Linked DNA regions of Tribolium castaneum. The protein of the gene in region 1 interacts with the protein of each later gene in a pairwise test. Links are inferred from orthologs where the notes say so. Each region holds a gene or a part of one and is shown in the gene's direction. Other genes may lie near its edges.

Evidence for each region.
Region 2: the proteins of rau (region 1) and Mob4 interact in a two-hybrid assay, tested with the Drosophila melanogaster proteins (2 studies listed by BioGRID). The link is inferred for Tribolium castaneum from reciprocal best matches to the Drosophila melanogaster genes rau and Mob4.

Annotation. Positions count from the first base shown.
Region 1 is NC_087398.1:1,940,931-1,946,613, reverse strand, and holds the start of rau (uncharacterized protein rau), read left to right. Parts: upstream 1-2,262; 5' UTR 2,263-2,440; intron 2,441-5,683.
Region 2 is NC_087395.1:22,126,925-22,131,705, forward strand, and holds Mob4 (MOB kinase activator-like 4), read left to right. Parts: upstream 1-1,951; 5' UTR 1,952-2,051; coding exon 2,052-2,111; intron 2,112-2,186; coding exon 2,187-2,795; 3' UTR 2,796-3,119; downstream 3,120-4,781. Other genes in the region: Epac (rap guanine nucleotide exchange factor 4), read right to left, coding at 3,973-4,034.

The DNA of each region.
Region 1 (5,683 bases):
AGATGCCTCGCGCTAATTTTTTGGCTAAACATAACGTGCTCCTATTTGTTAAAACAGGATCTATTTTTCCTATTATGAAATTGATTCTTTCCAAAATCGGACAAGGTTTTTAGAAAATCGATTGGTAAAAAATCGACATTGAACTTCTCGCCCTGCAAGCACCAGAACTTGTTTAATAAACTGAAATGTTTATAATTCCACCGTTTATTATGAAATAATAATCTCGCTAAATATAACATTTACACCATCTTCACCTCAGCAACAAGCCTACAAGTAAACAAACACCACATCTGTTTTCCGAACGGCGGCATTTTGCCTGAAAACTGATTAAAAGCATGTTCAAGTCATTAACATGTGCCAAAAAGCGGCTTCGCCTTGTTGTTTAGTCTAGAAAGGTAACCCCTGATGGTCCAACCCATCATCGGGGTCTTTCGGGCAAATTAGTTTTGCGGTTTCTTACGACTGATAATACGTCATGAAGGGGCTCATATTGCTGGAAAAAAATTAGGTACAGCAGCAGTTTTTTTGCTTAGTGTGACGCAAAGACATATTGCCGACACATGCTCCGGTTACTTCTTTCGAAAGGCTTTCTCGCAATTATGCGATGGGCGGAAACAATCCGATTTTAATTTTCCTGATCAATTAAATAACGCCGGGTTACTTGTTGCACTTATTTTGCATCGTGTGGGAACCTGCATGTGTGAAATGATTTTCAACACAAATATAACTTTCGTAAATATTAGCGACAGTTTTATTTACATAATTATGTGTGAACGTTTCCTTTGTGTGCGCTTACTTTACATAATTCCAACCCTCTGGTGATGGCAAATGAGTCCTTAGCAGCGATATTCCGCATTTTATGGAACAATGCAACCTTACCTTAACTGTATCCGCTTCCTGAATTATGCATGGCACTCAAGGCTCGCTTATCAGACTTATCTTTTCAAATTAATTTTGCCTTCAATTTGTCTGTTTTGAAACCGTACGCATGAGGATGTCAGTCGGAAACAGAAGTAAGTTAATACGACGGGATGTGTGAGCAATTTACCAACTTACTCACGTTGTAATTTCAATAAATCAACCTATTCACTTCCTTCTTATAATTTCACATAACTTTTGATCATTCTCAAATGAGACAATGTATTCATTACGTATCGGTCCATTTCTCACTTCATTTTCTGACTTTCTATCCGTTTTATTGAATGGGGAATTATAGTTTGTTTGGATTAATTCTGTGGGAAGAAAAAATCGATTTTCACCATTTTATTGTTACGAAAATTGACACAGAACTTGCGGTTGATGGTAACTGGGTTTTTAGCACCATTTATGAGTCGAATAAGGCATGTTCCTAATAAAAATTATTATAAAGCGAGTCAGTTGGCCACATTTTGTCCGTTTTTTAGTCAGTCAGTTAATAAAACGATGCAGTGTCAAGACGTGATGAATTAATAGTTATTTAATCGTTTACAGTTGCACCAGCCAGTTAACATGTGTTTGGTCGCTGAAAATGGAAAGTTTTTCATGTTTATGGATGTGTATTAAAGAAGCACTCCATTTGCATCTTTTATAAAGCTTTAACCCAAAGCTCTGTGGATGTGATCAAAATAATAATAAAAAAATAACACGTTATTAATTATTAATTTATTTACAATATTTACAAAGTATGCCATAGCGTATTACAAGTGGAACATTTTTCTTCAGTAATGTTGAAGCGTTGAAGGATTTGCGAATTTCAATGAAACGGATATTTCATAAATTTTGCGTAAAATAATTAGTCCTCTAAACTCATTATGCGTAAGAAACATAATAGTTGTATGAAACTTGTGCAAATTGACCGAGAATAAAGATGTGTAAATAATAATCTAATTAATTATTTATGTTGTCAAAAAGGAACAAATTAAAAAAATGTGGTATCGAATTCCTCAGCTTCTGGAGGAGGAACCGATAAGTAGCCAATTTGTGTACCTTGAGCATGCCATCCATTGTTATGAAAATAGTTTATTTACCTTTACACAGTAACGAAATTTGTTCCGCTTGCATATCAGCTTAAAAAATCTCGTATACCTTGCCCCGTCTCAAGTCCAGCAAGAAACAACGGAATTTCTCTCCCAACACCCACCCTGAAGGAAAGTGTGAGAATACGAAAAGCCTCCAAACAATAACACTACAATGAACCTGCCTGCATCCCACTATCATCCATAATCTGATAGAAATGCATTTTATGGTGTCTTTGGGACAAGCCGAGGCAGAGTAACGCGACTCAACCGTGGGTTAAAGCTCGCAGCTATCAGTCGCGTTTTAACGTTGGTGTTGGAAGGACGTGGTGTTGGAACACTTCGGCGCAGCTCCATGTGCTGCACACGTTTCTGAGTGCGTGTTTTCGTGAACTTTTCCCAGTTGCTGATTTTTGGGATTACCATTGACTGAAGGGATTACCAAGGTGGGGAATTATTTTTGGAGCTTTAAAGCTCAGTTGATGCGCATGCAAATATTTTGAGTGCAACAACAATGCCAGATATGTCGTGGTGATAAAATAGCCTTTTATTATTCCTCCGTGCTTTAAATGTTTATTACCACTTGTCCATTCAAACTTATTGACATTTTTCGGATCCGGGACTGTTTGCTTAATAAACAACAATTTTTGATCGTTGGTGGTCTTCACACCAGCGTGCAAAAAGGCTGCTTTACACACAAATGAAATCAATTTTCCTCCAGTTGTAACGTAATGAATCACTTTCGTTTAGATTAATTCTCGGTTATTAGCAGCATAAAACCTTGTAGACTACGAGATAACGTAAAGAATTTTGCATTGTAAATGTTCATGAGTCATCAGTTTCATCCTATTCAAATTGTGCCACCACCAACAACAATCACGATCAAGGTTGGAACAAAACCAAAAATTGTATCAGATCCTGTTACTCAATTTCCTACAAACAAGTGTAAAGAAATAAATCTGGACCAGCCTAATCTTTTGTGGTGAAGACCGGACGTTTACATGGACGTGGATCCGCCCAAATGTCACTTCTCTTCCACATGCCGTCCAGGTTTCATTTCACAAAGCAGTGATCTAACGTTTGCATCATCGACTGGAAAATGACTGCAACTTTCGCTCGGCTTTTCGCTAATTTGCAATAATGACAAATCGCGTACCGAGAACGAATTCTTGACATTTGGTCAACGCTCATAATTGATTTATAAATGCTGAGGTATTTCCAAGCCATAAAATCGGTTACGATGAAATTTCCTTTACGGAGTGTTACAAAAACTCGTCCTGTTTATAATTATTTGAAACTGTATCGGGACGACATGCGAGCTCATTAAGGTGTTAACGTCTTGATCATTATCTGCATCATAATTGGGGGCTGAGGGAAACTTAAATGGAGGGACAAATACAAATAAGGTATAATTTCTCTAAATGGACAAAGTACGCTCATTTTCTGTAATAGTATCGCATGAATTAAACATTTTTGCCAGAGCTTCAAAGGACGAAGTGGTTTAGTGGCCACAAAAAAGGAATAACTTTGTCTCGGTACAAACATTTATTAACTGATAAGAAGCTTACACAAACAGTGTTCAATTTGTAGGAATCCACCAAGTCAATATTTACTCTGATAGGTGAACATGTCTGATCTCTCCAGGCTGACCAAAGTTCTTACAAGTGTGGTTTATTGTCCAACGACAAAATTTTGGCAATAAATGAGATCGCTGATGTATAATGTTAATTTCAACGTGTAATTTGCATAAGAGGGGAATTTACCAAAACATCTAATTACAATTTATTATGGTGCTTGCATAAATTATGATTTTTCACGCTTAGTGCCTGTCATTTCTGTTAATTATTTCTGAAGACGAACGAAACAGGCGAGCTTTAATTTTTTTCACATTTCGGTAAATTTTGTCAGATTGGTATTAATTAAAAACGCTGCTAATTACAAATCCTGTTTTTTAAATATTTTCTGTAGATTAAATCTTGTCTTGTTGGAGATCCTGATTGAAATATTTAGGACTGGCGTTCAAGGTTCACTTTTTAATTAAACTTTTACTGCTTATTCTATTGTTGTTTAATTACTGTTGCGTTTATCTCAATGCCAAACCTGCAAACTTCTCGCGAAATAATTTTTCGAAAATCGCCAACTCCGGTTAAAGGAACTTGCATAACTGGCAAGGTCTTGGTTCAAGTTTTATATTTACTGTTGATTTCATACATTATTTATTTGAGTTATTGTTGTTCTTTTCAATGCCTTTGTAGGTGGGGTCTGATATGGGTGACTGTGAATTACGATTTCCGATAATTTCGGGTAAATTAATATGCAATGAGAGCGGCACGCACCATTGAGCATTTGGAGGAACAATTAAACTGAATCTTCCGGCTTTCAAAAATCGGGCCAGACGTAGAATTACGTGTTTCCTTCCCGTTATCAGTTGCTTTTTCCCCATTCCGAAAATAATTGCAATTGCGACTCATATAAAATTTATTTGTTCATCTAAGCGCGAAATCAAAAATTTACAAAAAGCGAGCACATCATCGATAGCTTTGTACTTCGATGATCGGTCCGGTTTTTGTATGACGTTATGGATAATGATTCTATTTTTGTCCCTCTTCATTGTGTAATACTTTCGAGGAAGCTGTTATCACAAAACGAGAAGCAACACAATTATATCTCCCAAGAACTTATTAATCACTGATTAAGATACCTGTTGATTCACATCAGAAGAAAGTTTCTCCCCAGCTCAATGCTAATTACCGTGATTAACATTTCTGGAATGTCTCACCTCGGTTTCTCGAAATTTGCGCGAAAACAGTTCAGGGAAAAATGCCGCCAACCTTAAGTGCATTGAGAAAATTAGCATATCTTTGAGAATCGAACCGAGAGGTATAAAAACCCCGGTGATTCAGTCGATTAATCCACTTTTTGACAAGTTGAGTAAACATGACAAATTGCCAACCACTGTGTGGTTTTAAAAGTCGTAATTAGGATCGAGGATTTCCACGAACTAGCCGCGGGCAATATAATAACAGTTTCAATACATTTCCGGAGTGGAAGAGGAAATGTGAACGGAACTGATATTCTCCCACGAGGGTTCGTATCGGGGGTGAAACCGGAAAAGCCCAGCCACTGTGACGGAATGTAGAGCCGTGGAAAAAACAGGACTTATCTGGACACAAAAACAGGACTGAAGGAAGTCGCTTCACACTTGAGCGGACTCGGAGATTTAAATGCGCGCACGAGCCGCCCTATGCGAGGATTCTCTCGAATTCCTAGCCGCAATTATAACAGTTTTCTGCCTAATAATATCCGTATAAAGTTGCTCGGCGGGTTCGAACTCCGCACTCACTTCCTTCGCTGGGGGCAAGGTGAGGACACTGCTACCATTCGCATTCCTTTCGTTGAAATAATGCTCCTACGACCGTTCGAGGAAACTCGGAGCTAACCCAATTAACCCACGATTGATGGATTTGAACGAAATTATGATTTTCGTGACGTCGGAATGCGGGATACAAGAAACACTGACTGTCTCAGATATCAAAAGAAGCCACGAAGCGAAACGGTCGACGGTACTGAACCAGAGAAAAAGTACGCTGACCGCGATCTTCGCAAATGACAATGTCTTTGTTTCAAACGTATGATCAATTAAGCAAACGTTTAACCGATCAATGAAAAAGAGTTAACTATCGGTCGCC
Region 2 (4,781 bases), on another chromosome or scaffold:
TTGCTCGAAGTGAACAAAAATCGCAAACTGGATTATTTTTTCCTAAAAGATTATTATTTCGGAAAAAGTGCAACCGATGAAATTGTGTGCTCATTTTATGAAATGGAAAACCCACCCTTTTTCCTGCAAACCATTTACTTTTTAATTTTCCTAAATGACAAAAATGAATTTTTTCGCGGTGGGAAATAATCGAAAAGCGAGATGTTTTATGCAAACATATCGATTTCATTCAGAAACAAGATGACTCAATTTTAAAAGTGCTTATAAATTTTTTATCTAAAAGACGAAAATCTGAGCATACATTTTGCTAAAAATACGAAACCATATTTCATGTATCTGACACTGGAGGTTCAGGTTTCATCAATATCAGGCTTTAAGGGGAGCAATGTTTCGATCTTCTCATTTTCGGAGGCTTTGTTTATAACGTGTGTAATCAATTTTCTCGAACCAAAGTAATTACACGAGGAAAAGAAAAAGGCAGATATTTTCCAAATCTTCATTGAAAACTTTTGCATCATTTATTACCTAATGTACCTAAGTATAAAAACTGCACTAGATTTGTTTGCAAAATGGAACAGATACAGCTCAACTACTTTGTGAAATCATATTTATAAAAAATCGCTCCTAAATTAGACAAAAGAAAAAAATGTTTTTACCTTGAATTTTAAATAGATTATCCATAATAAGCCAGAAAACCAGTAAAAAATGTTCGCAGTATTTAATCGTTGAACGACTACAGCCACTCAACAGGGTAATCTAATTATTTTCGCCATTTTTCCAAATGACCTTAAACTCACTGGTTGGAAATAAAGCTAGCTTCGGAAAATTCACCCCAAATAAATCAGCTTGTGATACTTTCAACATCTAACTTAATACTGATTTATCAATTTAACCAATTTTTAATACAAACAGAAAGAAAAATTTGATATGTAGTCTAAAAACGTGTTTAAATCTACAAAACTAGCAAAAACTATGTCACTTTTGACATAATTCTGTAATTTATTGGCTTACTTTTAAAGAAATTTTGCGCATTAATTGCGTTTTTGCTGAATAAACACTTAGAAAATGTGAATTTTTGGTCATTTTCGACAACATTTGATGATTTTTTCGTTTTAGTTTAATAAAAACAGAAAGAAAACCTTGATTTTTAGTCTAAAAACGTGTTTAAGTCCTCAGAACTGATTTTTTTATAATAACTTATAATAATAATAATTTATAATAATATAAATACGTGTAAATTACATTAGCTATTGTTTTCTCAAGTGCATAAATAATTTATAACAGCTAATTTTGAGAGAAAATACGTCGTTGGCGTTTTTATAGTTTTGAAACAGCGAATACGTATTTATTCTGCTCAACACTGCGATAAAAAAAACCTTTAACATTAACTTGGAAATTCCTGTTTAATGATTACAGGGAAATGATGCTGCAAAAAATCTTTGTTTCAATTTGGAAAGTAATACGTTATTTTTTATTTATTCTAATTCAGATTTGGAAACTGATACAAAAAATGTTGCTGATATCTGATACAAAATTCTATTAAAAATTATTTTTTTAATTAAACAAAAATCTTCTGATTCTCCCAGAAGTTATTAAAAATATCTGTAGGTACTAAAATGATGGAAGACGCTAAAACTTTCTGCAATGAATGCAGAACGAATATAAAAAACTAAAAATACAAAGTTGCAATTTTTGTAAAAAAAAATATCAAGGGCGGTATTCAGAATTTGCACCCCGGCGGCTGTAAAACTAAGAAGTCGTCTTATCACAATATTGTATCACAATAATGAAAAATAAACTCGTTTTTTTTTCTGCGGCCTTTGGAATTTTCTTAAGTAAAGTACTATTTTTATGAAAAGAGACCCACGAATTGATTTCTTCTGACCCAATGTTTCAAAGCCCAATCAATTCCTTACGGCGTATTTAATTTCCCCGCGGTGAAACCGCTGGCGCCTCTATTGTTGCAAGAAGCAACTACTCATCGGACAAAAACAGCGCTATTTTTCTCTCTCTAAAGAGGTTGGTGCTTCGATGGTGCTTGGTGGTCAAAGATGAAGATGGCTGATGGTTCTGTGATTTTGCGTCGAAACCGCCCCGGCACCAAAGCCAAGGTAAATTCCACTCTCGCCCCTTTAGCCCCAATCAATACTCGCCAACCTCACCCTTAACCTATCGATCACCTGCAGGACTTCTGCCGATGGCCCGACGAGCCCTTCGAGGAGATGGACAGCACCCTCGCCGTCCAGCAGTACATCCAGCAGCTCATCAGAAACAATCCTGCCAACATCGACCTCATCCTCAAGATGCCCGAGAACCAGGACGAGGGTGTGTGGAAGTACGAGCATCTGCGCCAGTTTTGCATGGAGCTGAACGGGCTCGCCGTGCGCCTGCAGGGCGAATGCCACCCGGAGACCTGCACGCAGATGACGGCCACCGAGCAGTGGATCTTCCTCTGCGCCGCCCACAAGACGCCCAAGGAGTGCCCTGCCATCGACTACACCAGGCACACGCTCGACGGGGCCGCCTGCCTCCTCAACAGCAACAAGTATTTCCCCAGCAGAGTCAGTATTAAGGAGTCGTCGGTGGCCAAGCTAGGCTCCGTGTGCCGCAGGGTCTACAGGATTTTCTCGCACGCGTATTTCCACCACAGGTCGATCTTCGACGAGTTCGAAAACGAGACGTTTCTGTGCAAGCGATTCACGCAGTTCGTCACCAAGTATAATCTCATGTCGAAAGATAATCTCATTGTTCCGATTCTCGAAGATGAAAATACACCAGGCGAATCCGAGGCGTAAATTTTGACTAAACTGGCTGTTTTTCCGACATACCGCCGTTGGTATTTATGACTTGTTCATACTGAACAGATGGGCTTTTTCCGATTCGTTCTACATTCATTTCAAGCATCAACTGTATTATAAGACATCTCAAACTTTATTTTTTCACCTATATTTTATTTGTGGCGTTGTGCCCGATATGCTTTTTTGAGCAACTCACCATTAAGTGTACATTGATGGGAAATTAATTGTTAAATTGATATAATAAGTCGTGTAATATATTTATTTTCATTTAGAAGCTGTCTAGGGATAGAAAATATGACAAATAAATATCTATAGTAGAAATATGCCGCTTCGAATTCCCAATTAAGTCATATGACTAATGTTTAGTGATCCGGTCCTTAAACAATTCATTGTTATAGGAAGTTTTAATTCTGTTCTTCCCAAACATCCATTCTATAAGCCAATCTAATCACTTGAAAAATTAAAAAACGCGCATTGCATGTTCATTAAACACTCGAAACAATTCATTAACTGAACCAAATAATAAAACAAGGTTTAATAAAACATAAACAACTAACTCTTTAATCCTGATCCTTGTAGCACGATTATAGCGTCCAGGTTCCCTGAAGATCCCTTCCACTGGCCCTTTAATCACTCGAAATTTAAAAAATCGCGCACAACTAAATGTCTGTTAAACACTCGAAAATCCACAACACGCACTTTCAGTCACTCGAGTCATCTGAAACAAAAAATTGAAAAAATTAGTAATGAAAAAAAAAAACAAAACCAAATTCGTACATTATACTTAGTCTCGAGCTTGCTGTGAATGTTTTTCTTCAATATTTAAGAGATGCATCGTCAAATATCTGGAAATTTTTCTTCAAAAGATTTGAGAGAATTGCGTTTCAACTACAATTAAATAATAAATTTTCACTCATATTTTGATACTTATAAATACTTACTGTGTTCTAAAATGTTGCACTCACATTTTCACTTCACACACTTCACCGCACTTAGAAAAAAATTAAAATTCACTCACCCTGGCCTCCTCGTCGTTCCCTCTTCTTCTTAGAACGGACCTACTGAAAATAAAAAAATACAAGATCAGTATAAAAATTTTTGATAAATGAATTTATGTATAACGTTACAGATTTATACTTAATTTTTTTTTATAAAAAAAACTTTGACAACTAACCCTTTAATCCTGATCCTTGTAGCACGATTATAGCGTCCAGGTTCCCTGAAGATCCCCTCCATTGGCACTTTAATCACTCGAAATTTAAAAAATCGCGCACTACTAAATGTCTGTTAAACACTCAAAAATCCACAACACGCACTTTCAGTCACTCCAGCCACCTGAAACAAAAAATTGAAAAAATTAGTAATGAAAAAAAACAAAACCAAATTCGTACATTATACTTAGTCTCGAGCTTGCTGTGAATGTTTTTCTTCAATATTTAAGAGATGCTTCGTCAAATATCTGGATTTTCTTCAAAAGATTTGAGAGAATTACGTTTCATCTACAATTAATTAATTAATTTTCACTCATATCTTGATACTTATAAATACTTACTGTGTTCTAAAATGTTGCACTCACATTTTCACTTCACACACTTCACCACACTTAGAAAAAATTAAAATTCACTCACCCTGGCCTCCTCTTCGTTCCCTCTTCTTCTTTGAACGGACCTACTGAAAATAACAAAATACAAGATCAGTATACAAATTTAAAAAAAAAACTTTGACAACTAACCCTTTAATCCTGATCCATGTAGCACGATTATAGCGTCCAGGTTCCCTGAAGATCCCCTCCATTGGCACTTTAATCACTCGAAATTTAAAAAATCGCGCACTACTAAATGTCTGTTAAACACTCAAAAATCCACAACACGCACTTTCAGTCACTCGAGTCATCTGAAACAAAAAATTGAAAAAATTAGTAATGAAAAAAAAACAAAACCAAATTCGTACATTATACTTAGTCTCGAGCTTGCTGTGAATGTT